3 linked regions of the Oryzias latipes genome follow. The protein of the gene in region 1 purifies or fractionates together with the protein of each later gene. This does not show direct contact. Links are inferred from orthologs where the notes say so. Each region holds a gene or a part of one and is shown in the gene's direction. Other genes may lie near its edges.

What was found.
Region 2: the proteins of smndc1 (region 1) and sf3a3 purify together in Homo sapiens (affinity purification with mass spectrometry; 3 studies listed by BioGRID and IntAct, with this or other methods). This does not show direct contact. The link is inferred for Oryzias latipes from reciprocal best matches to the Homo sapiens genes SMNDC1 and SF3A3.
Region 3: the proteins of smndc1 (region 1) and sf3a1 purify together in Homo sapiens (affinity purification with mass spectrometry; 3 studies listed by BioGRID and IntAct, with this or other methods). This does not show direct contact. The link is inferred for Oryzias latipes from reciprocal best matches to the Homo sapiens genes SMNDC1 and SF3A1.

Annotation. Positions count from the first base shown.
Region 1 is NC_019873.2:19,581,897-19,591,980, forward strand, and holds smndc1 (survival of motor neuron-related-splicing factor 30), read left to right. Parts: upstream 1-4,533; 5' UTR 4,534-4,690; intron 4,691-4,999; 5' UTR 5,000-5,006; coding exon 5,007-5,126; intron 5,127-5,565; coding exon 5,566-5,708; intron 5,709-6,033; coding exon 6,034-6,195; intron 6,196-7,350; coding exon 7,351-7,504; intron 7,505-7,596; coding exon 7,597-7,734; 3' UTR 7,735-8,937; downstream 8,938-10,084. Other genes in the region: alpha-2A adrenergic receptor-like, read right to left, coding at 2,296-3,471. UniProt on the Homo sapiens protein: Involved in spliceosome assembly.
Region 2 is NC_019869.2:17,929,571-17,939,540, forward strand, and holds sf3a3 (splicing factor 3A subunit 3), read left to right. Parts: upstream 1-3,511; 5' UTR 3,512-3,666; coding exon 3,667-3,762; intron 3,763-3,863; coding exon 3,864-3,911; intron 3,912-4,634; coding exon 4,635-4,687; intron 4,688-4,778; coding exon 4,779-4,884; intron 4,885-5,441; coding exon 5,442-5,514; intron 5,515-5,879; coding exon 5,880-5,971; intron 5,972-6,050; coding exon 6,051-6,133; intron 6,134-6,213; coding exon 6,214-6,352; intron 6,353-6,432; coding exon 6,433-6,501; intron 6,502-6,572; coding exon 6,573-6,640; intron 6,641-6,872; coding exon 6,873-6,980; intron 6,981-7,064; coding exon 7,065-7,134; intron 7,135-7,216; coding exon 7,217-7,381; intron 7,382-7,463; coding exon 7,464-7,574; intron 7,575-7,657; coding exon 7,658-7,748; intron 7,749-7,834; coding exon 7,835-7,890; intron 7,891-7,990; coding exon 7,991-8,068; 3' UTR 8,069-8,232; downstream 8,233-9,970. UniProt on the Homo sapiens protein: Component of the 17S U2 SnRNP complex of the spliceosome, a large ribonucleoprotein complex that removes introns from transcribed pre-mRNAs.
Region 3 is NC_019867.2:18,882,381-18,892,391, reverse strand, and holds sf3a1 (splicing factor 3A subunit 1), read left to right. Parts: upstream 1-3,552; 5' UTR 3,553-3,575; intron 3,576-3,686; 5' UTR 3,687-3,728; coding exon 3,729-3,776; intron 3,777-4,268; coding exon 4,269-4,378; intron 4,379-4,460; coding exon 4,461-4,665; intron 4,666-4,739; coding exon 4,740-4,997; intron 4,998-5,081; coding exon 5,082-5,156; intron 5,157-5,221; coding exon 5,222-5,372; intron 5,373-5,452; coding exon 5,453-5,649; intron 5,650-5,753; coding exon 5,754-5,871; intron 5,872-5,975; coding exon 5,976-6,283; intron 6,284-6,418; coding exon 6,419-6,664; intron 6,665-6,862; coding exon 6,863-7,061; intron 7,062-7,172; coding exon 7,173-7,327; intron 7,328-7,693; coding exon 7,694-7,795; intron 7,796-7,883; coding exon 7,884-7,955; intron 7,956-8,032; coding exon 8,033-8,134; 3' UTR 8,135-8,380; downstream 8,381-10,011. Other genes in the region: ccdc157 (coiled-coil domain-containing protein 157), read right to left, coding at 628-678, 836-975, 1,095-1,257, 1,371-1,547, 1,686-1,855, 1,963-2,040, 2,124-2,811, 2,900-3,050 and 1 more; TBC1 domain family member 10A, read left to right, coding at 9,914-10,011. UniProt on the Homo sapiens protein: Component of the 17S U2 SnRNP complex of the spliceosome, a large ribonucleoprotein complex that removes introns from transcribed pre-mRNAs.

The DNA of each region.
Region 1 (10,084 bases):
GTGACCTCTAAGGGAGCATCTCAGACAGAAAAGAGGAATATGACAAGATCAACTGGTGAAATTTAGCATTTATGGTTAATGACTGACCATAACCTCCACTCAAACAGAGACTTAGATATACTTATCAGTGTTACATTTATTGCAAGAATCATTACTCAAAAAAAACTTCCTCACATTTTGTGCAAAATGTATATAACTAGAAATCTGCAATGCTTGTTTATATTATTATTAAATCTATATGTTATGTTTTCATCATTTTTTGTTTTGCTTAAATGTTTTAATATTGCTGTTGAATCTAATTGTTGGGTGCAGATGCATTTGAAAGTGTCGTTCATTTGTAAAGCTGCTCAAACAGCAGCTACACTGCCCTTTTTAATCAAAGGGTGTGTTTGGAAAGCAATCACTCAAGTGAAATTTTCCTAAACACACCTATGCGTGAAGTCAGGTAAAGATATTTGCCTTTAAAGATGGATGGATGGAATTTCCCATGATATTGTCTAATTTACATTTCTGACTGCACCCCATTAGCACAATAAAAAAAAAATCAGAGCTGAAATCATAACTTTCATGTCACAAATATGCCCAAGTCCAAGCAGGAGAAACAGATTCATGGCTCATGAATAATTCTGTGGGAATACTCTGACTGACTGTTTTTCCATTTGTGGTCAGTAATGCCTAATTTTAAGACCCTGAGAAACACTTAAACCACAGAAATTTCAAAATTCCAATCCAGAGTTATGGGAATCATTGTTGGGTACATGTATGAACTCATAATCACACATTTATTGCATGGTTTAGAAAATTAAAGCATATAAAATGAATCAAAAAGGGAAGGAAATAAGGTGTTAGTGGTGTGAAATGTGTGCTGGAATGGAGAAGACTGATAAATATGAAGCAACCTGCACACCGGTTGAGGATCGTAGGACTGATAAGGTTGTGGACATCAACCTCACACTGCAATTTGCAGCAAGCCACTCATATTTCCATCATGGTCCGACATCTGTTTGACTCTAGGGGAAGATTTAATGACCTTCTGCAATGAGTGGCAATAATTCATGATAAACATTGTTCAATGTTAGTGTGCAAACCTGCCTCCCAGGCATCATTTTCTTTTCATGTAATTGTTTTGTTCTTGTCTTTGTTATAAGATGGTATCATCTTTTTTGTGTGGTAAATATTGCTGCCTGTGGATCTTGTTAACTATGTGATAATGGTAAATCCTTTTTATTTATTCGTTTATTTGACAGGGACATTGCATATTAAAAAGCATCGCTGTACTAGAGATAGCCAAAAGTCTATTTTTCATCCAGTACTCCCTCTAGACACTTCATTAAAAATTAGAAGTTTGCATTTGAGATGACCACTTTTTTCAGAGTTGTGTTTTTATTTGATGTTTTATGTATTTTTAATTAGGATGGATGGATGGTTGGATGGATGGATGGATGGATGGATGGATGGATGGATGGATGGATGGATGGATGAATAATTTAATAATTTAATAAGTATCATTAAGTATCAAACCAGCAATACTTGAAGTACAGCTCAAGAAAAATTAAAAAATAAAATTATTGGTTTTCAAATGACACAAATGCTGAACAAACCAGATTACATTTCTACATTTAAAACCAAAAAAACTTGTAAAATGACTTGATTTGGTAGTAATGTTTTGTTATGAATAGGTTAAGTGACTCAAGATAAGTACCTTTATTGATGTTGCTTTGAGCAAAAGCAAAAGACATTTCTAATTGTATCCAGTCTTTTTTTATAATATCCAACAGCAATTAGGAAATTGTTATTTTGCAAAATTGAATTTTCTGTCCTAGGCTTGGAGTGAAAGCAGATTATTGGGCACATTATCACACTGACATCCGTGCTAATTTACAAATAAGTGACATAAGGGGCGGTTATCTGTTAATTTAGCATATTGCACAATCAACACAAGAATTATTCTCCTTTCAAAACGGTATAAAATGTGTGTTAGAGCCAGCATAGGGGAACTAGCATGGCATTTCTTTGCAATATGAGGCTCTTTTGTCTTTCATTATCAAAATGTTCACATCGATTTTATTGATGTAAGACTCCTTTGTCATAAAGACTGTTGAACTGCAAAATAAAATCTTCACCTTGCAGATAATACAAATAGAAAAAATGAACATAACGTGACATTAAAATATTAAAATCTAACATTGCAAGCTTTCACAATACCATCATTTTAGCCATGAAAAAGTAAAAACAAACTATAGTTTTAAAGGAACATTAGCCAAATATAGCATTAAATGGTATAAAGAATATTATCTAAAAACTTAAGTCTTTTTTACAAAGAATTCTTTTAAAAGACTTCCTGAAATCATCATTAAATATTGTGTAAATGACAGGATTTAATGAGCTATTGCAGTAACCAAACCAAAAGAACATTTTGAACAGTGTCTCTGGGACGCAGCAGATGTCACACACAGCTGTAAGTGTGTATGTGAAGAAAAAGGGGAACCAGCAGAGAACAAACACTCCCATGACCACAGCCAGAACAAAGGTGAAGCGTCTTTCTCTGTACTGCCTCCCTTTCCACCTGCTCACTCTCAAGGGAGACAGTGCCTCTGCTTTTGGAGAGGCTTCTCCTGGCTTCGCTTCAGTCACGTCGGTCTTCCTCACATCGATTTTTCTGCTCAGAGAGCGTAGGCAGGTTTCGTTCCCATCTGATGAGGATGGTTCCTCATCCATGTCAAGTCCATTAATCCCCTGACTTTTCACGTCGTTTAAATCATCCACATTTCTGTCTTTTGTTTGTGGGGAGTTGCCATTCTTTACTTGCTTCTCTCCTGGTGGAGCTCTGGTTCTCCTAATGACAATCTGGTAAATCTTTACATACACCATAATCATAATGACACAGGGTGCAAAGAAAGATGCAATGCTGGAGAACAAAATGTACCATTTCTCCTCATTTATTTTGCAAACAGGGCTGTTTGCTTCTCCCCTGTTCTTCTTCATAGTTATAAGTGGAGGGAATGAAATAATGGCTGCAATGACCCAAACCAAACCAATAGTGCATTTAATCATTCGTTGAGTCCTTTTTAAATTATACTTAATGGCCTTAGTGACAGACCAGTACCTGTCCAGGCTTATTGCACACAGGTGGATGATTGATGACGTACAGAAGAGCACATCAAGAGCAGAGTGGATTTCACACCACACTTTACCAAAGTACCAATAGCCCATCAATTCATTGGCTAAGGAGAATGGCATAACTAAGGTGGCAACCAGAATGTCTGCGCATGCCAGAGACACTAAAAACAAGTTCTGTGGCGCCTTCAGAGCTCGGCATGTGATAACCGCAATGACCACCATCACATTGCCAAACACTGTTAGCAGGATGAGCATACAAACCAAAAATGTGAGCGACACTGAGATCTGCACGCTGAAAGGGTGCTTCCCAAGAAAAGTCTCATTTCCACCAGTGAGGTTGAGACAACCCATCAAGACACGCTGGGGCGTCGAGAATATCTGAAGATTTCCTTGTCAAAGGGATCAAAGAGGGCGCTTTGCAGCTGACTCTTTGTTAAATCCATTCAAGATGGCAATGTTGGAGAATTGAGTTTTTTCCTATGGAAGAGCTTCCTGCACAAATCTCTCATTCTTCTACCTAAGAGTGAAAAAAAAATCAACTGAAAAAAAAATGCATTCGGAAAGTTGAAACACTCATTTGGACAAATAAATCCCGATTCACCTACCTCAAATAATAATTTATTTTAAATCTTTAAATATATTTCATCGCAAAAAAAACTCCATCAGTTGCAGGTTGGCTCTGGTTGGTCTTCTTTTCTTCTGCAAAAGAGAAGGAATGTCTCTCATATTATCCTCCTCTGAAGCTGGAAATCTTTGATGCTCCCTCTACTTCAGTGAGAAATAGGATGGGCGGAGTTTATCTGGTGTAGATTTAAAGGACGCTTTGTATTGCTCTGACGCTACAGCCATTGGCGGATTATGACATTTATTCTTTTTTATGATTTATAAACTTAATATCTCATTGTTTTAAGATTATAGCGGTACATCCGCACTCTGCCTTTGCAATATTATTTCTTCTTATCCCTTGAAAGCAAGATTTGTGAAAAGATTGTTTTATGAATTCATGGAAGGGGAAATGAGGATCATCATACAACACTTGTGAGATTGTCGTTTATTTTTATGCTGAATTTCAGAGGTTGGTTTTAGAAATCCTCGCCTTTGTAAACTTTTATGATTAAAAAATATAATGGTTATGGATGGTGAAAAAAAACAACTAAAAAACAAACTGTTACCATTTAAACAGATTCACTATTTTTATTTTGAAATAATAATTTTAAGGCTTTCAAACAAATCACGTGACTTTTATTAAGTAATGTGAAAAACGTAGTAATATCCTACTACTTCAGTCTGCGCAAGAAAGTTGCTTGTTTTAAAATATTTACAATGCAAAAACCCATTTAGGGCGCAGAGTGAAAGTGCCCTTCCTGGCCGACAGGGGGCAGTATTGAGTCTCTTAAGGCTCGGTCTGAAGCAAGGAAATCTCGCGAAGAAATTTTCCGCTTGTTTCCGGTCAGTTTTGTGCCGCTGAAAGAAGAACTTATCTTTATCATAATAATTATTTAAGGTAGTTAGCAAACAATAAATAGCTTAATTATCAGCGCGTTTGTCTACAGATAACTCCCTTACCAAAGTAAGTTTGTTTCCAGTTGCATTTTTGTCATTACGCTAGCATTTTGCTTGTAATGGTAATTGTAGCCTCACGACTAGGCCAAGAGACCTTGATAACCCACTTAGCGACGTGCTATGGTTGACGTTGTTGACACATGATACACATTGTATTTCTGTTTTTGGGGGGACCATAGAAACACTGCGCTAGTGGAATATTATATACACCCTCCTGTTTTCTCTTAATTTGTGTTTCGTATTGTAAATTTAGCCGAAACGTCGAACAAATGCTAAGTGGCTAGTTTATGCTGCACGATGCTGTTTGTTTTGTTAGCGCTCAGATGTCTGAGGACCTGGTGAAACAGTTGAACAGCTACAAAGCTCAGCTCCAGCAAGTCGAATTTGCTTTGTCTACCGACACTGAAAATGAAGACCTTCAAAAGCTTCAGAAGGACTTACGGGTTTGTGATTGCTGTTTTTTCTCCTTAAATTTATCTTGTTATCCATAGTAAAACAAAATGCGAGGCTAATTTTGAAAGCCAAGGAAGATGTATTGTGTTCATTTATTCCTTTAAATATAAATTTATTATACTTGATCAAAGTAATCTTTTACGTAATATTGATTAATACGTTTAATTTCATTGACTGAAAGTTAGACATTTAAACAGGCTTTGAAAGGAAGTTAAAAATATGAATAGTATCAAATGATGTACTTGTTGCAAATGGACCATTTTCAATTATTGATTCATTTGTTTGTTTTGTATTATTATTAGTTTTAGGTTTACATCTTTTACCCTATAAATATGCATAGTCTGCAACCCTTTAAAAAAAGTCTGAAAATGTTACAAGTGTCTTTTCATAAAGTACTCATCTATGAAAATCTCTCTTTTTCTTTTTCAGGAGGTTATTGAACTTACAAAAGATCTGCTGAGCTCACAGCCCACTGATGGAACCTCAACTACCACCAGTACAGAAAAACCTCCCAAAAAGCATACCTGGAAAGTGGGAGATCGATGTATGGCTTTGTGGGGTAATGATGGACAGTGAGTGTCACCTCCTCCTTAATTATTTTTATAGCAATGCATGCCTTTAAGAAATATCTAGGATATTCCTTATCTTTTTTTTGCTTTTCAGTGGAAACGTAGTTCAAAGAGTTGATTGTTTTTTTTATATACAGTGATGATGGTTGACACTTAAGGGTATTAAGTATTAGGAATATTAGGTGATGGACTTCCACATGATAGACCTGTTTTGAACTAAAGTATCACTTATCCTCTTGTAAAACTGTTTGGATTTAATAGTTTTGAGAATAGTAATCCTGAGTTTTTGGTTCCTACTCACCTGCTTACAGACGGGATTTTTTTGCAGGGTGTATGAAGCGGAAATTGAGGAGATAGACCGAGAGAACGGAACTGCAGCCATAAACTTCATCGGATATGGAAACGCTGAAGTGGTTCCTCTGCAGAACATCAAGGCCTTGGAGGAGGGAATGCTCTCTATTGACGATGGAGGTGCAAAGGCAAAGTCCAAGTAAGAGGAGACCCAAATTAACACTCGCCAGTTGCCAATCACAAGCTTTTGCATGTGTCGCTAGTATGCAACCACAGAGGGCTATTGATGGGGGATAATATTTTCATAGACTAAACTTTAAGACGTGGTTGATAAATACAACAAAATCATTACGGATGTTCATAGAAAATTTGTATTTTCTTTATATAATAACAGACATGAATCCACTGTGTATGCAAACCACATTAGAGCCCACCACCCCACGTCAGACAGCCATTATAGATGCCTGCATCTTTAGCGTCAATACCATAATGGCAAGAATCCAAAACATTTGAATGTTTTCAGGTTTTTATGTTATGATTTCATATAAAAACGAATCACCTATAGGCAGAAATGGGGAAAGATTACATTTTTTCTTTTTGAAATATGCCTCTCTCTAGTCCTTTGTTTTCTCAGCATGTTTTAATCAGTTTACAGTTAGATCTAGGGATGTAATGATCAGGTGTTTTTTTTTTGGCATTTGATTTTGAGTATCGGCTGATTCCAAGTGCTCTGTGTAACATTTAAACAGTGCACTTCCATGAACAAGCGAGCAAAAAAAGTGCAACTATCAACTACAAAAAGCACTTAACTATTGACTAGTAAAATAGGTAATAATTAATCCAGTGAGAACATTTAGTGACTATCTTCATTATCGTCAAAGCTATTAAACATTTTTGATCATTTGTGATTCACATCTCTATAAAAAATCTTTAATAAAAATGTCTTTCTGCTCCAATCTTTGTTTTAGCATAAATATGATTATGAATGAATAGCTTATATCAATGTTACCATTTTTGAGTTCGATGTGAGTGAATTTATATATTTTTATAACCACCGTGTCTTCAAGAGTTTGTACTTTGTAGGCAGTCTCTTACAGAGTGAGCCATTCTCATTAATAGAAACAAAAACTAGATATTTTTTCTGTTGAAATGCTTTTGTAGGTTTTTGTTTGAGTTCAGATAAAACACAAGACACTTGCTGTCAGTTATAGACGTTTATGAAAGCATTATTGCTTCTGGAAGTCCCAATCAGTGAATATCTCTATTTCTTTTTGTCTGTGTGATCTGCTGAAAAATGTTGTATTGTGTTTGCACAGTTTTGACCAGCTGTTTCTTCGTTTGTGCGTATTTCTAGGAAAGAGATGATAGCAGAGCAACGGGAATATAAAAAGAAAAAAGCCCAGAAAAAGGTCCAAAGGATGAAGGAGTTGGAGCAGGAGAGGGAAGAGCAAAAATCCAAATGGCAACAGTTCAACAACAAAGCATACTCGAAGAACAAAAAAGGACAGGTAGAATTGATGCATTGGTGCATTTAAACAGGCCTGAAGCCATGAAATGCTTTCAATTTTAATCACTCATCGTGCCTTTTCGTGTCTTACAGGTCAAAAGAAGCATATTTGCTTCCCCGGAAAGCGTAAACGGAAAGGTGGGAGTGGGAACTTGTGGTATAGCAGACAAACCGATGACCCAGTACAATGACACGTCAAAGTACAACGTCAGGCATTTAATGCCCCAGTGATTTCACATTCTGTACATAATTTGCTATAATATGAGCTGAATCCGTGCTTTCCATTGTGTTTATACGTGATATTAAACTCTCAAGTAAAGAAAGCTTTCAAAGGAGTTGCTTGCACACCAGTGTTTGAATAATTGTGGAATTTTTCTTTCCTTATTGTATTGTGTAAGTCCAACAACAATCAGTAGGAGGGAGGTTTTCCGGCACTGGATTGCAGTCCGCTGTGGTAAAAACAGGCTGTCATTAAGAGGCTGTAGATTTTTGTTGTTCGACTACAGCAAAAGGCTCCGCCCCTGAGACCCGTAAAGCCATACATGTCTAGATTTGAGGTGTACGTTTGTCTAGTCCAAAAGTTTAGAAATCTGAATTTAGATTATGGTGTTGATTTGAAAGTGCTCCAGATGCATTTAAACATATGTATATACATAACAGTGAAATAAAGGATTTGTTTTTGGTTTTTAAAAATTCGCCATCTCCCATTTTCTGCTCTGATGTTGTTGTGTTTGTCCTGTAGGTGGCAGTAAAGACTCAAATACGACAGAGTGTTAGATTAACCATAAAAGTTTAATTATGATAAAAAATTCAACATAAATAAAATTATAAATTTAGGATCAAAAAGTTGTAATTTTACAAGGGTAAAGGTATGTTTTTTTCTTTTAAATAAAGTTCCAAAGTAAAGCAGATTTAAAGATTTTTCAGTAGTGTGATGTCATCAATGTTCTCGACAACATCAGTAAAACAGGTAATGCTTTCTTTATTGATTTATTTTAAAAGCTGAATGTAATGTTTTATTTTTGAAATTGCATGACTTTGATTTCAAAATGACAACTTTTTGATGTATAGATAAACAACTTATAAATTATGAATTTTTGTTCACGGTTGTAAGACTGCATTCTTGTAAAATTTTGACTTTACTCACAATATTATGACTTCATCTTGTAAAAAAAATAAGTATTTTTTTAATTCTGGTAAAAATTTTCACTTTTTCTCATAATTTGCAAATGTTCTTGTAAAATTAAGACTTTTCTCAATTTCACAACTAAATCAAGTAAAAGTTTGACATTTTCTCAATTTTACAACTTTATTCTTATATTCGTTGATTTCTCTTTCCTGGTGGCTCTAATACTCAGTTGTACTGAGTTCATTGAAAAATGTGAAAAATTTAATACAGAACTGCAGAATATCTTAAATTAATAATCATGTCAACATGTTTGTTGTGATGGTTGTTTTCTCTGAGCGTAAACAAGAAAATCTGTGAAAGACAAGTAATTCTTTAAGAAACCATTACCTCCATGCAAGAAGAAACGTTATTTGTGTGTAGAGGTTTATTAAGATTTCAGGAATAAGTATAAGGAATCGTAACAAAGTATTAGTAAGGATCAGCAGCATATTTTTTAACACAGAAATCACTTTGAATGGAGCATTTTCGGAACAAGAAACCATTTTGTCTCTGCATTTACTTCCATAGCAAAGTTTTCCGCGGCGCGGGTACTGTTCATCTGAATGTAGTCGGGTGTGAAGGACCTCTCCAAAAAGAGAAAACTTTGTGCAAGAATCGATCCCCGTGTTAAGACACAATTTGGTGGCGATCTCCATATGACCTGGATCAGAAGGAGCGATCAGACTTGAACATCTAAATTTGGTTTTATGGATTTGATTAGGTCAGCAGTGCAACTGTGTGGAAAAGAGACAGAATCTTCTGTAAGAAATGTAAGAATCCATATTTCTGTCTGCTACAATACAAAAAAAAAAACATCCACTATTAAACACTGATGTATACCCAAAAGCAGTTTTCCATAGTTTGTCGTTCATGCTATCTACATTAAGAGTTGTCAATCCAAAGCTCATTAAAACATGATTGGAAAGGATACATTCATAAACATGCACCATAGCAATTGTACTCAATGACAAGTCTTTTTTAATGATTATTAGTAGCTGCGTACTACTCTACCACAGCAGCTGTTGGAGTTGGATGGACAGAATAATCGACTACAACCCAGCCAACGCCACAAAGAAGATCAAACTGGAAACGTTATTGCTTGAGCTTTGTGCTTGGGTGAGAAAAACAAGATGGCTTCTTACTGTCTAATTTGCCCACAGAGAAAGCATTCAACTAAACGTCACACAGAGGAATGGATGAAAGTCCCAGCACTGCGTCATGCTTCAACGGGGATCAAATCAGGGAAAGTTTGGTACACACTTTCAAGTAAAATTGGGGGGGGGAATGGCTGTTTAAGCACAGCCAAGAGTATAATTCTTCAAAAAAAATAAATAGGCTAAATAAATTAGACCTACATGGACTACACTACCCGTCATAATAGAATATGTTCATTGAAGAAGAGGCGAGGTGATG
Region 2 (9,970 bases), on another chromosome or scaffold:
GTTGTTAGCACCTTTACATCTCTGTCCTTAATCACCCTTATCTGTTGCACGTCCTTCCCATCTCTGTCTCTCTGTCTGGCTAGCCTGTACAAGTCCTTCTCTCCTTCCTTTGTGTCTAACCTGTCATATAGCTCATCGTAAGCTTTCTGTTTGGCCTTTGCCACCTCTCTCTTCACTCTACGCTGCGCTTCCTTGTACTCCTGTCTACCTTCCTCAGTCCTTTCTACATCCCACTTCTTTTTAGCCAACCTCTTCCTCTGGACGCATTCCTGTACTTCCTCATTCCACCACCAAGTCTCTTTACCGTCTTTCCTCTTTCCAGATGACACACCTAGCACCTTCCTACCTGTTTCCCTGATAATTTCTGCTGTAGTTTCCCAGTCATCTGGAAGCTCATCCTGACCACCCAGACCCTGTCTCAACTTCTGCCTAAATTCCTCACAAGTTTCTTCATTCTGTAGCTTCCACCACTTGGTCTTCTTTTCTGTTTTCCCTCTCTTCTTCTTCCTGACCTCCAGAGTCATCTTACACACCACCATGCGGTGCTGTCTGGCTACACTCTCTCCTACCACCACTTTGCAGTCAATAACCTCTCTCAAATGACCTCGTCTACATAGGATGTAGTCCACCTGGGTACTCCTACCTCCACTTCTGTATGTCACTCTATGTTCCTCTCTCTTCTGGAAGTAAGTGTTGACTACAGCCATTTCCATCCTCTTCGCAAAGTCCACCACCATCTGTCCCTCCAGATTCCTTTCCTTCACACCAAACCTGCCCATCACCTCCTCATCACCTCTATTGCCCTCACCAACATGCCCATTAAAGTCTGCTCCAATAACAACTCTCTCTCCTCTGGGGAGACTCTGTATGACCTCATCCAACTCACTCCAGAATCTCTCCTTCACTTCTAACTCACAGCCAACCTGTGGCGCATACCCACTGACTACATTCACCATCACCCCTTCAATTTCTAACTTTAGGCTCATCATCCTGTCTGAGACTCTTTTCACCTCTAGAACACTGTTTACAAACTCCCCCTTCAGAATCACTCCTACCCCGTTTCTCTTCCTATCAACACCATGATAGAACAGTTTGTATCCTCCTCCAATACTACGTGCCTTGCTGCCCTTCCACCTTGTCTCCTGCACACACAGTACATCTACCTTCCTTCTCTCCATCATGTCTGCCAGCTCTCTGCCTTTCCCTGTCATTGTGCCAACGTTAAGAGTCCCTATTCTCAAACCTATGTTCCTGCCTTTTCCCTTCTCTCTCTGGCCACGGGCCCTTCTGCCTCCCCTCTTTCTTCGACCAACAGTAGTCAAATTTCCACCGACACCCTGTAGGTTAACAGCATCGGTGGCGGTCGTTGTTAACCCGGGCCTCGACCGATCCGGTATGTCTAAAGTGGTGTGGATGATTCGCATGGTTATTTTGGCAATTTTTACGCCGGATGCCCTTCCTGACGCAACCCTCTCTATTTATCCGGGCTTGGGACCGGCACAGAGGCAACTGGCTTGCAACCCCTGTGGCTAGATTGGATTAAATTATTTTTAACTAGATTATTTAAAATAAATTCACAATAAATTATATTGTCAAAGTTGTTCAAAAAAACAAATTCAGTTTGGTAGTTTGCTCATGCATGAGCAGTAAAAGGTAGATAATAGATGAAAAAGGTTAAATATGATAAAAAATAAAATTAAAAAAGAAGAAAAAAGACAGCAATAACCCAGCAATAACGGAACACAATATGAGCCATTAAAATATCTGTGTGGCATAATTAGTGACAATATTTTAGGTTCATCAGAGGCAGAATCAGATACACACAGAGAAGGAATGACAACTTTTGTTTATTCTGTTTATTCTAGTTTTCATAAATGTCTTTTCAAGAGGATTGTGATGTGAACAGATTGTGTCCTGGGTGGGGGTGTTTCACATCTGTGTTTCTGGAAGTCAATCATTAAATCTTTTGTTTTTCAAACGTTTAAATCCAGTTTTTTAAGCACACGATGCTGAACTTTTAGTTTGTTGGCAGCTTAATTAGTTTTTGTCCTACCACAGCTGTGTGGTGGAACTTGACAATGGTGTTTAAATGATCAGTTGTGGTTCAGTCTTGTGTAACTAATGAATAAAGAAGAGGGGCAAGGACACTGCCTCGAAGCGTTCCTGTGTTTAGGATGAGAGAGGATTAAGTACTGATAGTTTGTGGTAGATATTCTGAGAAGAAGAAGAAATTATCTCTGTGTGTCCGTTAGTGTCCTTGCAGCACTGTTGAATCTGTTGAAGACCCAACAGATTATAAAGGGTTAAAGTCAGGACAGACAGGAGGAAAACACGGAGTAAAATCAGAACACTGTGGCGCCAGTCAGAGACAGCAATCACTTTCCGATCTCTGAATGATTGATCGCTGCGTCTCCTGTGGAAGCAGAGCATCCAGGAGTAAAAGCATCCAATCAACAACTGCTAATGAATAAAAAACAAACAGAAGGTGTTGAGCGGCTGCAAAAAAAATGCTATTGGTCTTTACATTGCGTGGCTTAAAATATTGCATGGGCTAAAACATTTGTAAAATATTGAAATGCAGAATGAGTGTACTCTACAACGCAATTTGTGCAGTGTTGTTCTGCACATCATAATGGTTTTGGAGAGGGTGGATGATGGCACTTTTACCTACAACAAGGGTGTCACAGTCTGATACTGAATATGTTACTGAGAGATTTAACAGCATGATGACGGGTTAGGAGGGATTATCCATGATAGATGTCAGTTTTACCAGCCTCCTTCTGATTCAGACTTCCTCAATAGTAGCCAGTTTGTAGCCCAGGGCCGAGCCAGCTCCCTTGATTTTGGGAGGACTCACAAAGATGTCCCCCAAGTGACACCCTGGGCAAGGCGAGATCCCCTTGCTCCCCCCTTGCCGATGGAGGTAGTGTCTTTGTCAGTTGAAGCTATCCGGAAATTGGGATTGGTGATGACCCATGTCCTTGTGAAACACATTATACCGAATTCTCTGCTCTCTCCCTATGTCCTGATGAACACTTTCACTTCATCCATGTAATTTGCACAAACCTCACATTTTCATTGATGACTGTGGGAATGCAGGACTTAAACTTCTTGTTCTTCATCCTCTGTTAGAGCTATACTCTGAAGCATCACCACCTCCTCTCTAAGGTGGGTCTTTCTAGCTTGAAAGTCTTAAATTCATATTTTCAAATGTATATTTGCCTCTAACTGTCAAAAACAACGAGAATCTGCATTTCTTGCTCATATACAACATTATAAAACACGAACAATGCAATGAAGTGCATTTTTTCCAGGCAAAACATTTACACTTCCAGTCTAGTTTAAAAACAACATTCCTTAAAAAAAAGTGACAAAACCAAAAATATTTTATATTAATGAGATTCCACGATCTAAAAGTAATTTTGCAAACCAAGCTTTGAGTATTTTTATTTAAAGTAATAGTTTAGTGTATGTCTGTTAGGGAAGCGGTTATCAAAGCGGAACCGTTTTACTGGGGGGTGTTTCTTCAGAAACTTATCTGGTGACGGACCCCGGCGTACGTTAGAATGCTTCAATAGAAACAAACGTAGTAGCTTTTTTTTGGTTTCATTTAGCGTAAAAGACAAGAAGAAAACAGGCAATCAAACTACGAGATATTCCCGAAACATGGAGACTATTTTGGAACAACAGCGCCGCTATCACGAAGAGAAGGAGCGGCTCATGGACGCCAAAACCAAAGAAATGTTACAGAAAAAGTCAACGGTGAGCTTAGCCGCTGCAGGCTAACGTTGGCATTACGTGCCACGACGTTATCCTCCTAAAACAGAAAATTAATGGTTGTAATGTGTTATTTGTTGTTTCAGCTTCGGGATCAGATTAATTCCGACCATCGGATTAGAGCCATGCTCGATGTAAGTAGAATTTAAAAAAAAAAAACAACGTTTTGTTGATGCTAACACAGCGGCAGGCTTACGCCACCGCTACAATGCTTAGAGCATAGTATTAGTTCAAAAGCTACAGATAGTTTTAAAATAGACATTGAAACATTGCCTTCTTAACTTAAGATGAGCTATCTTAAAGACGACCAATCATCCATAAGCTGTTGAGACAAGTGAAAATTTTACTATATTTCCTACTATAGACAACTCAAAGCGAAAAAGTATATAGTGGAGTCAGAAGAAGGACACATGATGATGAGAAGGAATAAGTGTTTTTTACTCCGATTATGAACTCATTTGTCCAAATAGAATAAGGAGACACACAGGTAGGTGTTGCTGCTTCCATTCATCCAGCAGCTCCATTGACTTCCATTTTCCGGTTTGAACTTAAAAATTTTGAGTTTACCTTCAAAGCCATTCACAAAACTAGACCTGTCTGTCTCTCAGATCTGGACATTTTGTTTGTATGTATTTTACAAGTAGTATTATCTAAATGAGATGCAATATAAACTACTGAAAGCATAGCTGTAGTAGCTTTAAATGAAGAAAGGTTGTACAAATATAACAATAACAGGCCGTCATAATTAAGACTTTGAAACTAAAATGACAAAAGAAGTTGAGATGTTTATTTTGATGATAGCACTTTAAAAAAATGGAATTATTCAAGAATGCTTGTGTCTAAATGTGTTTCGTCAGAGATACATGGATGTCAGTGCAAACCTGCGAGACTCCTATGAAGACAAAGATGGGTGAGTGTTGTAGTCTTAAGAACCCACAGGTCTGAATCTTTTCTTTTTCTTTACTGCAGCTGTTTTTTTTCTTCTTCTTTTCTTTTGGCAGCATGAGGAGAGACGAGCTCGCTGCCATCTCTGGACCAAATGAGTTTGCTGAGTTCTACAACAGACTCAAACACATAAAGGAGTTTCACAGGAAGCACCCCAATGAGGTACAGAATCCAGAGTTGTAACAGCACTGCTTTGTGTGGTTTGACAGATGGAGTTATTTATAAACGCTGCTTCATATCAGGAAAAGATTTAAACTATAGAGTGTGTTAGTTATTGTGTTAGGAATTGTGTTAGGAAGGCCATCCTGGGAATCATAAGATGATTCCCTGTGGTACCCACTGTAGGGAACAACTGAAAGGTAAAGAAATAGACTCGGCCACTTAGGTATCAAAAAATACTTTTCCTGTTCTGGGGTATGGACATTATTGGATTATCAGTCAGAAGCGCAACACAAAGCCCTCAGTATGTCAAATGTGTGTTTAATAGACCGACACATTCTGTGCCGGAATGTTGCTCATTCTGCAGAGCTTGAGGGGAACTGCTCTCTTTGGAGCGACTGAAAGTTGTGGAGGAAACCTTTTTGTGCATCACAGGATTGTTTTGCAGAAAATGTCAGCAGAAGGACACTTGGTGTTTTAGTAATGGCCATAATCCATGTGGAATTGTTGATGGTCATGTGACCTTCATTAAACCGTTTTTTAACATGTTTTCCTTGTAGATTTCCATCCCCATGTCTGCAGAGTTTGACGAGTTGATGAAAGCCAGTGAAAATCTCAGTGAGGAAGCTCAGAGTAAGTCGGATCCACCTCCAAAGCATTCTTTATCTTGTTCTTCTCTTTTACAAACATTAACTCTTATTAACAAACAAGAGTTCTTTCTCAAAGTACACATCTGTTTTAGTTTTTCCACCTTTGGTGAGCTAGATCCTAAATTCATTTTTTTTTGGGGGGGGGGGCTTAAATGTAGGAATTCCCTTCACAAGCCGGCAACTAGCCGGCTTTAAGTCTTTTTTTTGTATTGTAGATAAAAAATATATATATATATATATTTGGTCTAAAGTGTTTATGGATTTAATTTTAAAGCCTTTGTTTTAGTTTTAGAAAAATCGAGCAGAATAGTTTGAGTCTGGTTTGACCCAGATTTTTGTCTGCCTCAGACATGGTGGAGTTCACGGATGAGGAGGGATACGGCCGCTACCTGGACCTCCATGACTGTTACCTGAAGTACATCAACCTGAAGGGGTCTGAGGTCAGGATCCATCAGATCTGCTTGATCCGTGTCCAGATTCACATGAAGGTGCACTTTCTAACTGCCCTGTGGTTCTCAGAAACTGGATTACATCACATACCTGTCTTCCTTCGATCAACTGTTTGACATCTCCAAGGACCGGAAAAATGCTGAGTACAGAAAGTAAGTGTTTGTTCCGGCGAAAGTTCCGCTGTTTTTCCGCACGCGAAGCATTAAGGTGGAAAATGCTGCCGGCTGTGCAGATACTTGGAGATGCTGCTGGAGTACCTGCAGGACTACACCGACAGGGTCAAACCCCTGCTGGACCAGAACGACCTCTACGGCAAAGTGTTGACCGACTTTGAGAAAAAATGGGACAACGGGACCTTTCCAGGCTGGCCTGTAAGTTCTCCTCATTTGTCCAAACGTTTGAACACGATCTCAGATTTAAGAAACGTTGAACATAAACGTTTCTGATGCAGAAAGAAACGAGCAGCGCTTTGACACACGCTGGAGCTCATCTGGACCTGTCTGCCTTTTCATCCTGGGAGGTACACAGCGTTCATGCATGACTGATTGATGCGGTTGTCTTTCCTGTTTAATGCGTTTCTCTGTTTCTCAGGAGTTGGCCTCTTTGGGGTTGGACAGGTTGAAGTCTGCTCTGATGGCTCTGGAGCTGAAGTGTGGAGGGTGAGTGCTGCTCAGCTCTGATTGGTCTTTTACTATAGGAGACCAATCAGCCAATTTCAAAGCCTTAACCTCTTTGGTTGTCCTGTTAAAACTAAATGTCCTCTGGGTGACGTCAGAGTTTACCTGTCCAGCAGTTGAACTTAAATAGTGATAAAACCCTGGGGTTTGTTGGACATTTCTGCTGTGGCCTGATGGGCGTGAGGAAAAACCAGCATGATGTTGTTTGCTCCAGGACTCTGGAGGAGAGAGCGCAGAGACTCTTCAGCACCAAAGGCAAATCTCTGGAGTCGCTCGATCCATCTCTGTTTGCCAAGAATCCAAAAGCCAAAGGCCCCAAAAAGTAAGCAGTTTTAAAAAGGTATCCAGTCTAAATTTGATGGTGTTTTGTTAACGTCTCTATTGATATTCCCCTCCTCCCCCTCAGAGACACTGAGCGCAACAAGGAAATCGCATTTCTGGAGGCCCAGGTGTACGAGCTTGTGGAGATCCTCGGGGTGAGTGTGGAGCTGGTGGACTGGCTTCTGGTGCAGCTGTGACCTCGGAAGTTATAGCCGCCGCCTCGCTTGTCCTTCACAGGAGCAGAGGCAGCTGACACACGAGAACGTGCAACGGAAGCAGGCCAGGACAGGGGAGGAGCGTGAGGAAGAGGAGGAGGAGCAGCTCAGTGAGAGCGAGAGCGAAGATGAGGATAACGAGATCATCTACAACCCCAAGAATCTGCCCCTGGGCTGGGATGGAAAGGTAAAAGCCACCCGAATCATTCTGTGACGAGCTCTCAGCTTCAGTCATCGGAAGCTTCCTCTTGTGATCTTCTCCTCTCCAGCCGATCCCATACTGGCTCTATAAGCTCCATGGTCTGAACATCAACTACAACTGTGAGATTTGTGGAAACTACACCTACAGGGGACCCAAAGCCTTCCAGAGGCACTTTGCAGTAGGTGTTCGTTGTCAATGTGGGGTGTGCGTTTAAACGCGTGTGGGGGTCAGGTGTGGAAAAAAACCCGTCTTGTGTTGCAGGAGTGGAGGCACGCTCACGGCATGCGCTGCCTGGGGATCCCCAACACGGCTCACTTCGCTAACGTCACACAGATCGAGGACGCAGTCTCCCGTGAGTGTCCCGCTTGATGGGTTTTGATGTGTGTGCTTGTTGCGAGGGGGGGGCGTGTCACCTCTGATGTTTGTGGGATGTTGCAGTGTGGGCCAAGCTGAAGTCCCAGAAGGCTCTGGAGCGCTGGCAGCCAGACACAGAGGTGAGGTTTCCTCCAGAAAACTGTTGAGAACATGATGTGGACATGTGATGTGGACATGTGAGGGCTCACTTCTCATCTTCCCCCCCATCTGGACTGACAGGAGGAGTACGAGGACTCCAGCGGAAATGTGGTCAACAAGAAGACCTATGAAGATCTGAAGCGGCAGGGCTTGCTGTAGTTACTCAGGAAGGAGAATCTCCATGATGACTTTTTTTTTTAAATCATAACTGCTTAAAGTTTCCTGTTTTAGTCAGTAGAATGTTTTCCAGCTTGAGTTTTTTCCTCATAAACCTTTCTAACATGTCAATCTGTGAACAATAAACTGAAGACTTTTTACACAGATCTGATTGTCTGAGTTTGTGCAGCACACTGACCCTCATCTGGGAGAAACACTTCTACTAGAATCCTTATATAGAATCCAATTGATGACATTTCAGAGCTTCATTGACAGTTTTTATCCTTAGGGAAAATAAATGCAGCAGAAGTCATATTTTCTGACATGTTTCAGCTCATAACTGTAAAAACGGACACTGATGTCTAAAAAGAAGATTCCTAGCCGCACGGGTGGAGTTATGACAGATTAGGTATTTTAGCTGTTGAGCTGAAAGGTTTCTGAGTTCTCAGATTAAAGAAGAACTTCTGGTTCTTTGTCTCCTTTTAAATCTGTCTTTCTTTTATCTGTTTTTTTGTATAATTTAAATACATTGTAAATCAGCAGGTGGTATTTATCCCGATTTTTTTTTTTTAGCTATACAGTCTTTACAGTCTAAATGTTTTTCCTATAGTTGTCAACCTGTCCAGCTGAAATAGCTTCAGTTGTTTAACTAAGGAGCTATTTTTAGTTAATAGTCTTTTTCTTTTTTTTTATGCCTTTATAGACGGGGTCTATATGCGCTTGCAGAGGCAACTTTCAAGGGACCAGTGGAAAATGCCAAAGCCTTCAGTTTTTAAGAAAAAACAGATTCAGACTCTTAAAAAGTAGTAAAAGTCCACATGAGATCAACACTGAAGATAAAACACCTAACTGTATATTTAAGAAAGTATTTAGTCAATGTTTTCTCAGTAAACATATCGAGATTAATGTTTTGTAATTCTGTTATTCTTCAGCAGACTAAAGAGCAAGCATCTCCCTCTGCTGATGTGCTGTGATTTAGGCCACAAGGATCCAGGTCTTACACACCTAAAACCGTTTCATGAGTTAGTAACTCAAAAGATTCCAGCATCACTGGTTCCAAAGTTCTGAATTGTTGGGATATTGCTGAATTCTTCCTTGCTTGTAGACTTGTTTGGTCGAATTTAAAGAAGGATGTATTTGAAAATGTTGGTTTGACACAGGAAAATCATGGAGCTTCTTTCAAAAGCATGGATTCACACAATCTCATAAAAACAGTGAGATGAGCTTTAAGGCAAGTTTGTACGTCAGATGGACCGCCGCTTCCAAGGAGGTGATGGAAAGAAGGAGGAACCATGGAAACATGTTGCCAGAGTGACCTGTATGCTCTGCCGGTCAAAATAAAATGATAAAGCCTCCCGAAAGAACAAAAATCCTGGAATCGCCCCTGTTCCTGCCTATATCAGGCAAGTCTGTAGGACCATCCCAGAGGGGGAGGAGCCTGAAGCTTTTTTCTTTTATGGTTCCTGCAGAGCAAACTGTTAGAAAAAAAATCCCACACAGGAATGTAAACAGACATACTATATATTCACTTAGAAAATTACAGCAAGAACAATCATGGAGTTAGACTTCCTTTTTGTGAGTATTGATGTCCACACATGTAAATACGTTTTGCATCTGCAAAGGAAAATTTTTAAGGGCTAAACAATTAAGTGCTTTTGGAAAACTGTACATGAAAGATTAACAGTTGTAAAATTGTTTTGCACACTTGCAAAAATGTTTTTCTATCTTCAGAAACATTTGTCGAATCTTCTTGTGTTATTTAAGAAACATAAGATCATGGGAAACCTTTGTCGCATTCATGTTTACAGTCAGACCTGATGTGCCTGAAGAGAACCAGATGTTAATGTGAAAAAATGAAGAAATTAAACAGGAAGATTTTTTTAAATGTATGCACCTGATTAAACT
Region 3 (10,011 bases), on another chromosome or scaffold:
TTTAACCATCCCGACAAGGATTGCAAAGGGCAGGACTTCCATTATTCTTGCTCTTGTTGCTTTGCCCCCTCTTAATTCCTGAAGACTGAAGAGATCTTTAGTCACATGGTTTTGTTTACAAGCTTTGGTTCAAAACAGGAAAGTCTGCTTGACGGCAGTCGGAATACAAACCAAATGCAAGGGTCAGTACTCGAAACAGACCAAATTAAGTGGGCTTGGTCTGGACCAAAGGACTATTCCAGCCTGAATGAATACACCCTTAAAACACACAGTTGCAAGATGAGACTTCTTGAGTCAAATATTTGCAGAGAGTGAAGGGGTGTTTTTGATGTATGACTAAGCAGTAGCAGAGTCTGTGGCGAAGTGGAAGCTCTAAAGCTGATTTTGCAGCAACAAAGGAAAGGCAGACACACGATACGATCCTTCGACACAGTTCAGTGAGGACCACGTTCTGTGCATCTGGCTCCTTCTTCTTTATAACTGCATGTCATGTGAGCCGTGCTGCTGCACTGCCTGTGGAGCACAGAAAACAAAGACACTGATAGAAGCACAGCAGTTTATTGAACCACATGTAAGACATGCTTAATGTTGGGAATAACACACTTGAAATTCATTCTTCTGTTCCTGTCAGGAGATTTTGTTTGTCGTTTGGTTTGCATCACATTGAGGGGAAGACTTCTGTTAGAAGAAAAAAATCAACTTAATATTGTTCAGAAAACAGTGTCACAGATTAGAATTTAGCTACTACAGCCAACAGCATGTACCATACTTCTTCCCATATTGATTCATTTCAGGGTATCTAACATATCCAACCCCACCTTATTATTGTACTTACACTTCTGCCATTGTGTTGTGCAGCTTTCCGTAGTTTCTGGAGGCTTTTTTGCAGTGTGGCGTTCTCCTGCTCCAGTATGTTTACACGAATGCTGTTAGCCTGCAGCTGCTTCTCCATGTCCAAAAGGACATTTCCTGTTGCTAATGAACAAAGATTCATACAGTCTAAAAGTTTAGATTTAACATAGTAAATTAACATTGAAAACTACATTTTTTATTCAAATGTTAACAAATGCATGTAATAGTCAATAATGGCCTACTCTGTGGTTGGGCCCAGTTGTGGAGCTCTGGGAACGCCACCAAAATTCTCTCTCTGTCTCTTAAAGCGCGAACACGATCCATCAGTTCATGCAGCTGCTGTTTCAACTCCTCTTCGCGCATTTCTAACCTCTGTTTCTTCTTTTGTAGCTCCCCACACAGGTCCTGAAGTGCAAAAACACACAGCAAGTGTCTCTAAATACAGGACAAAACTATCTTTGTGGGCAAACCTGTAAATTGAGAATGTTCTAGTTTGATTTGATTTGATTTTATTCTACCTGCTGTTGAGCAGTCTGAACCTGCAGTTGTTTCTTCTCGTCTGACATCTGTTGCAGTTCATTGTCTAACTTCATTTGGGCCTCCTCGCTGTCCACCAGCTGCTTCTTCAGCTCTTCACACTCTTCATCAAGATCTTCAACCCTCTTTAGCAAAGATTTCTGCTTTACCTGTGTTGACTAGACACAAAATAAAGCAAGAAAACATCAAAATCTATATTCAGATTTCTTCTTAACGGGTACCGATTTGAGGTTTCAACATCTCAAGCTGATTTAACATGTAGTTATAGATTTTTCTTTTCTTTTTGAGACACAGACCTCTTGCTGACGGCAAGCACTCTGGTATTTGGCCCTCTCCTTATCAAGCAGCAGCTGAATGTCAGAGAGTTGTTCCTCAAGCTGATGGATCCTTTGCTGCTGTTGACAACATGCCTCCTGGTCTGTTTGTAGTTTTTTTACTTTCACTTGCAGAAAATTATTTTCACTTTCTAAGAAGGAGGACAAAGATTTGTTATGTAGTAACACAGCAATTTTATGAAAAAAACGTTTTTTTGCTATGAAAATGATAAAAACAAATGAAGTTAGGCTATTTTACCTAGAGTGTGTATGGTGTCTTGCTGCAATGCTACCTTCTCCCTAAGTCTAGCATTGGTCTCCTCTGAAGAATGGATTTCTGTTTTAAAGAAATTGAAAAAACAAAAAAGTTTAAACATGATCCTAACTTGTTTTTATTGTGCTGGTTAATGTGATTAATACCTTTTTTAAGCTGTTTATGCTCCTCCTGTTGCTTTTGTTCAGTTTGCTTTGCGCTTCTCTGTGCTTCCTGCAGTGAAAACTCCAGTTGTTCTATATTTGTTTGCTGTTTTTCTAGTTGTTGTTCAAAATCCTTCTGCACTGTTTTTAGTTGAGATCTGATGGCCTCACGATCCGTTTCAGCTGCTGCTACTCTGTCTTGGAGGGGCAGTACCGTTCCCCTCACATCCTGCAGGTGTTTTGCCAGCCTGCGCATGTCTCTGAGCTGTTCATTGGCCCACTGTGCAACATCACCTGGAGTCAGATGTCCCACCCTCACTGTCTCATCCACAACTGCTGAGAGAGGCTGCAGAGATGAGGGTAGACCTTCACTTTGAAACAGATCTATCAAAGATTCTCCAGTTTTTCTCAAAAGAGATTGCACTTGGTGACATGTACCACAAGGGATGAGGGACGTTTGTGCAGTCTGGCAGCTGACATTATGGGAGGCAGTTTTAGGATGGAATGAGGTTTGTTCGGGGGAACTGATGGTGATGTTATTTTGTGGGAGGAATTTAAATGAGCTTGTGGAAGACCAGGATATGGAAGAATGCCTGGAGCAACTTGTGCTGGATCTATTGAGAGGGGACTCGACGTTTGACTCATCAGATTCCACTGAATTTGTCTTTTCTGCAATGTTTTTGAAGAGTTCCTAAAAAGACATAAAAGGCATTTAAAGTCAAATACTTTTGCATGTGTTTTTATCCCTGTGGCATTACTAGAAAAAGAGGTTTCTTTACCTTTTTATCTGCAAATTGAAGTAAATCCCCCCAATAATTCCTGACCACAAGACCAACTGACATGCTGCCTCTGTGTGCAGCTCCTTCTGGTCTGTGGACCCCCATCTGTTGTTCAGCATAAACGCTGACGCTTTGAAGAAGAAACAGGAGCCTTGTTGGGGAACAAGAACATGCAGAGATGCTTTTAAAGTCATTATATATATATATATATATATATATATATATATATATATATATATATATATATATATATATATATATTTTACATGCAATACAACATTAGGTTACCTGTCAATCATCAATTCCAGGAGAATAATGTGGGAATGCTGATTGAAGTCATCTTCTCCTGCCACGAAGTCATATTCCTCCAACAAAGCAACAATGTCTAGATGACAGGAAAGTTTGTCCGGGAATTTCCAGGAGGAAGCGCAGACTGGTCCTGTTCTGGAGAGCACGTCCAGAACCGCACCCTGAATATCGATGAGGTCTTTTCTTAGATTCTTGATAGAATCCTGACGACCCAACAACAAACTCATGTCTAAAACGCTTATTTGGCGCCTATAAGTACTTGTTGACGTGAGGTCTCCTTGGCAACAGTTAACTCCAAGTCCCACAGTTCTTAGCGGATATTTCCGGAAGTAATTGGCCGCCATTGCGTTAACGAAAACGAGACGCGGTGAGTATTAACGTCGACAAATAAAGAATTATAGCTGTATTAGCTATTACTTTTTGACTTACAGAATTTTTTTTAAAGAATTCATTTCAAAATATATGTGTGTTGCTTTAGTGTTTTCAGGTAAAATTGGTGATTCGTTAAAAAGACGCAGCCATGCCGCCCGGGCCTGTTCAAATGGTTCAGCCTGAGCCTAACAACAAGGTAAGGACGCTAACTAGCTAACATTAGCCTCAGATATCCGTCGCTTTTCTTAATGATTTATCGCCTTATAAAATTCGCCCCCTTTATGCAAAGCTTTCTAAGCCTGTCCAAAATTAAATGCTAATGTTTATAAAGCTGTAAAACATATGGGGCAACGTTTGCGTCTATATGTGTGGCCCTAAAAATTCCCAAGTTGAGAAAGTCAATAAAATTAGGTAACAGATATTACTTAAACTATGATTGCACTTCAATATTTGGTATCTTTGCATATGGTTTAGACTAAATGTGTTAGTTGTATTCTCAGGTTTTTAATGATCGAGTGGTTTAATGTTTAAATTGTTGCAGTGTATCTTAGAATTACCTAAAGTAAGTCTTATTAATTAATAAGTGAATTGATAATGTTTGTGTAATAATATTTTTAAGGAGGAACTTCACTGTACTTGATGTTATTTTTAAATATAAATATTCTTACTTTGAACCTTCTCTTGTCAGAATGATACACCTCCGGAGGAAACTCCAGCCACTAAACCTATTGTTGGCATCATATATCCTCCTCCTGAGGTCCGTAATATAGTTGACAAGACTGCGAGCTTTGTTGCCAGGTTGGTTGCCAAAGAACTGTCACGTACAGCTGTAAGAGGTGTTTGCTATCTGTAGTTTGACTCTATACTTGTCACTTTACAGGAATGGGCCTGAGTTTGAAGCAAGAATCCGTCAGAATGAGATCAACAATCCAAAATTTAATTTCCTCAACCCCAACGATCCCTACCATGCTTACTACCGCCACAAAGTCAATGAGTTTAAGGAGGGCAAAGCTCAAGAACCGTCCGCCGCAGTGCCCAAGGTTATGCAGCAGGCTATGCAGCAATCTCAGCAGCTTCCACAAAAAGTAAGGACTGTCTATTTACTGTGCCCGGACCTACAAGGGTTTATATTTATACAAACTTGCCTTTTCTTCATCAGGTGCAGTCCCAGGTGATTCAGGAAACTGTGGTCCCCAAAGAACCGCCTCCAGAGTTTGAATTCATAGCTGATCCTCCATCAATCTCTGCATTCGATCTTGATGTTGTGAAGCTCACTGCCCAGTTTGTTGCACGAAACGGCCGTCAGTTTCTCACCCAGCTCATGCAAAAAGAACAGAGGAACTACCAATTTGACTTTTTGAGACCCCAGCACAGCCTTTTCAACTACTTCACAAAACTGGTGGAACAATATACCAAGGTAAAGGACAAAAATTACAGCTTTCTTTGTTTTTTTATTGAAACTGTGTTATTGAACTTTTTTAAATGTTGCCTCAACCTTTAGATTCTGATCCCCCCAAAGGGTCTGCTGGCCAAACTAAAGAGAGAGGCTGAGAATCCAAAGGAGGTTATGGACCAGGTAATTTATTTTAGCCTTCAGAAGATTATTTTCTATGTTTAAAACTGTCTTGTTACAAACATCAGGTGAGATACCGTGTTGAGTGGGCAAAGTACCAGGAGCGTGAGAGAAAGAAGGAGGAAGAGGAGCGAGAGAAGGAACGCGTAGCCTATGCTCAAATTGACTGGCATGACTTTGTCGTGGTGGAGACTGTGGACTTCCAGCCCAATGAACAAGGTAGCATGACTATAGGAACACCAGGTCCAGATGTTGCAAGAACCATAGTTATTAATTTATTCATTTGGTGTTTTTCCAAGGCCACTTCCCCCCACCTACCACTCCAGAGGAGCTTGGTGCTCGAATCCTCATCCAGGAGCGCTATGAGAAGTATGGAGAAAGTGAGGAGGTGGAGATGGAAGTTGAGAGTGAGGATGAAGAGGATGAACGGGAGAAACGAGCCGGAGGTCAACCCTCACAGCCTGACCAAGACACACAAGTGCAGGACATGGATGAGGTAAACAGTTATCATTTACTACATTTATACAAAGTCCAACACTTGTCTAGGTTTCTTGGTTACTTGTGTAGCAAATTCACAAATTTAAAATGCTACTTCTCCAGGGATCAGATGATGAGGACGATGGAATTAAAGCTCCACTTCCACCTGACAACCCCATGCCACCTCCTCTGCCCCCGACTCCAGACCACGTCATCATTCGAAAAGACTATGATCCCAAAGGTACATTTTTTTCTGTGATTGAAATATTATGAAGTATAAAAACAAGCAAATAAAACAAGCGGTGCATTAAAACTTGTTTCCTTTTTTTTTTTTTTTTTTCACAGCCTCCAAGCCTATGCCCTCAGTTGCAGCTCCAGATGAGTACCTCATTTCACCAATCACTGGTGAGAAGATCCCAGCCAGCAAGATGCAGGAGCACATGCGCATTGGTCTGCTGGACCCACGCTGGCTGGAACAAAGAGACCGCAGCATCAGGGATAGACAGACAGAGGATGAAGTCTATGCTCCTGGTCTGGATATCGAGAGCAGCTTGAAGCAGCTCGCTGAGAGGCGTACTGATATCTTTGGTGTTGAAGAGACAGCCATTGGTAAGAAGATTGGTGAAGAGGAAATCCAGAAGCCAGAGGAGAAGGTGAGTTCCGTAGAAAGTAGCATGGTTTTTGTGAAAAGCATCATTTGAACTCGTTTTTTTATCAACCTGATAGATTTTTTGTGAATACGCGTTCAACTTTTGTCTGAACTTTTTGGATTCTTGTGACGTGTCCAGGTTACCTGGGATGGCCACTCTGGAAGCATGGCTCGCACCCAGCAGGCAGCGCAGGCCAACATCACTCTACAGGAGCAGATCGAAGCTATTCATAAGGCCAAAGGCCTGGTTGGAGAGGATGACACTAAAGAGAAGATTGGTCCAAACAAGCCAAGTGAAAATCATCAGCCTCCCATGCCCTCTTCTGCAGTCAACTTACCCAAACCCAGCCCCCCAGTCTCATCTGTGCCTCGACCCCCTGTTTCTGTAAGTGTCCGTCTGAAAGGACTTAAGTTTGTGTTGCGTTAATGTAGCTTTCTGTGCACAAACAGATCTCTGGGCAATTGAGGCACAAACATATTTTTGAATTCCTTGACCTAGACTTTCTTCTCTGTTTCACTGCTTGATAACTAAACTTTACCTTCCCTTTCCTGGAACTTGTTTTTCTCTTTTGATGGCAAACAGATGGCCCCTCCGGTGCGGACCACTCTTCTGTCTGCTGTGCCGGTGCTTCCAAGGCCTCCTGTGGTGCGCATTACCCCAGGCCAAGTTCTCACATCAATGCCTCCCATGATTCCTGGCCCACGCATCAACGTTGTTCCTATGCCACCGTCTGCACCTCATGTCATGGCCCCCAGACCACCTCCCATGGTTGTTCCTACAGGTAGGATGAGCAGTTTCACACCTAGAGTGTTTTTTTTGTGTCAGGCTGCATTAGAACCACATTCTTTTATTTATGTTTTTATTGCCATAATCTTTTTTCTTTCTTTCTTAGCATTTGTTCCCGCTCCTCCAATGCCTCAACCTCCAAGCGCTGCTCCAGCTCCCCCCCACCATCCACCCCCACCGCATGAAGACGAGCCATCCAGCAAGAAGATGAAAACGGAGGATAACCTCATGCCAGAGGAGGAGTTCCTTCGTAGAAACAAGGTCTGCTGAGATGACGAATTGCAGAAATACCCTGGGCTGAATTTCTAACCAACAAACTCCGCTGGCTTATTTATTATACTGTTCAAAAAGCAAAATTTGGTGCACAAGGCTTTATTAAATGTTAACAGAATAATTATTGAAATCAAAGGTTCACCAATTTTTTTCCCCCACCATTTGCATAATTATTTATTTAAACTGAACAAATATAAATGGGGATTTTTAACTTTCTCGTTAATTCCTTTTAATCCTGTTAGCTAATTCCTTTTACTAGTTTTGTTAAACTGTGACATCAAAGCTATCCATCTCTCTCTCTGTGTTTTATCTTTCTATCTATGTAATCTAACTTATCAATTTTCTAATCTCCAGGGTCCTGTGGCTGTAAAGGTTCAGGTCCCCAACATGCAAGACAAGACTGAATGGAAGCTGAATGGGCAGATTTTGAATTTCACTGTTCCTCTCACAGACCAGGTAGGGCTGTGCAGATTTATTTTTATTTTTATTTTTTGTTACAGCCAGTGTCTCATTCATAAATGCTGCAACTGAAATATCTTCATAGGTGTCTGTAATTAAAGTCAAAATCCATGAAGCCACAGGCATGCCAGCAGGAAAACAAAAGCTACAATACGAGGTGAGTAGTTCATTTAACATTTGTGCATGCTGTAATTTCACTTCATTCATTATTACTAATTATTTTTGTTTTTATAGGGAATTTTCATCAAAGATTCCAACTCTCTGGCTTACTACAACATGATGAATGGTTCAATCATTCATCTGGCTCTGAAAGAAAGAGGTGGAAGAAAGAAATGAACTGTTACTTCAAAAAACAAAACAAAAAGTGTCGTTTGTGTTTTTCAGTTTAATTTTGTTGATTAGTTTTTGTTTCAGCGTAAATTTTGAAATGATTAGTCTTGGATATCTGTGTAAAGTCATGCTCCTGTATAGAATTGACTCAAAATTTGGTTCATCTTATAATTTGTTTTTAAATAACATTTGAGTTACTATTTGGGGAACACCATGTATGTCTCACCCATTGAAATAAAATTTAAAATGACATTTGTAGCTTTTTTTTGCATTTTATTTTAGTTTTTAACAGTGCATTCAATACACAAGTTTCTAGTCCATGTGATGCTCAAATTAAAACAATATTTTAAATAGGGAGCTTTAGTTCTTATTTATGCAGATACAGCTAACATACAATAATTTGTACAGCAAGCTTTGAAATGTTGGAAAAGTTTCACTTTGGTGTTTTTATTTAATTTCAATTTGCTACACAAAACAAATGTTTTTAACTAAATTTTTGAATGAATATTATTTTTTAACATGAAAACAAGTTTTACTGAAAAAGGTGTTGTGAAAAAATTATAACTAGCATGAAATTCAAGAACCTGCATTTGATTCTGAATCAGGTGGGTTTAATATCTTGGATAATTTTCACATTTGAAGCTGAATATTATCTTTGTTCCTCTAAATTTATGCTTGGAGGGGAAAAAATCTTTATATCCTTTCCTCCTAGGAAACTTCTAAATATTTCTGGGGCTGTTGTACTATTGATAGGTTTGTAATGAAATGGTTAATTTTCACAATTATGTATCTATCTGGTACTTTTTTAAAAGTATGTAATAAGGATCTTTGTGGATGCTCTATATAATAATGTAATTATTAAGCTGCTTGATTTTAAAAAAAGAAGAAAAGAAACAAGTTAGGTTTTTTAAACATAACTTGAAAAGAATAAGATACAAAGAAGCAAAAAATAAATTACATTAGAATTGTAACTTAAGGACATAAACAAAACACAACAGTTAAAAAAGAGAATTTAAGATGAAAGAAGCTGGTGTTTTAAATTCAAGGTTAGCTGCGCCCCTAACTATTTACTAAATATAAACTGAGAATTCTAACATTAGATGGTGAATTTCACTGAAATGTTTCACCGGAAAAAAATACAAGTTGTTGTGAAATAAATTAGAGAAACAGTGATTTAGACCTTTTACATCTTAGAATATATTTTTTTTAAATAAAAGGTTAATACTCAACTTAAGTTCCATATTTTACGTCGCCTACTCTTCTTTGTGCGTCAGTAAAGCTGTTGAGAAGCAACAGCGCCATCTAGAGTCGCAGAAAACGATGACTGCCTGCCACACAAATCGTTTTAGGACGGGCGCATCAAGCCAAATTTAGTTGAAGGTTTACCTAACTTTTGGCTCAAAGCCTCATACTGCATGCTAGTGCTGGTCTATGCGAACTCCCATGACTGTGGACAGTTAGCGTGTTTGTGGTAGGTTTACTCACGAGTAGTTTTTTATAGTGTCAGTACTAGGAGCGATTCAAGCTAAATACGTTAGCAGCTGAAAATTATAGCTAGCTAGTGTCAATTGGGTTTCAAGTTATTGCCGTGCAAACTAACGAATGCCCTGTTTAATGTGGCTTGACAACAGAATCGCGAAATCTATTTGCGGGCTATACAGTAGTGGGAAAGTTTCGTTCACGCCTAGAAATCATGGCGTCGGTTCAGTTTAATTAACTTTGGGCTGTCAACAGCGTGCTGACGTTAGCTGTCCTGGCTAACCAGCCAGCTCTCCAACAACTACAATGGCCAAAACAGAAAACGGTCGTCAGTCAGTGGACACGCGGAGCATAAGGACTATAAGCAGCAGTAGCCACATTGACGACGAAAGCTCATTGGGATC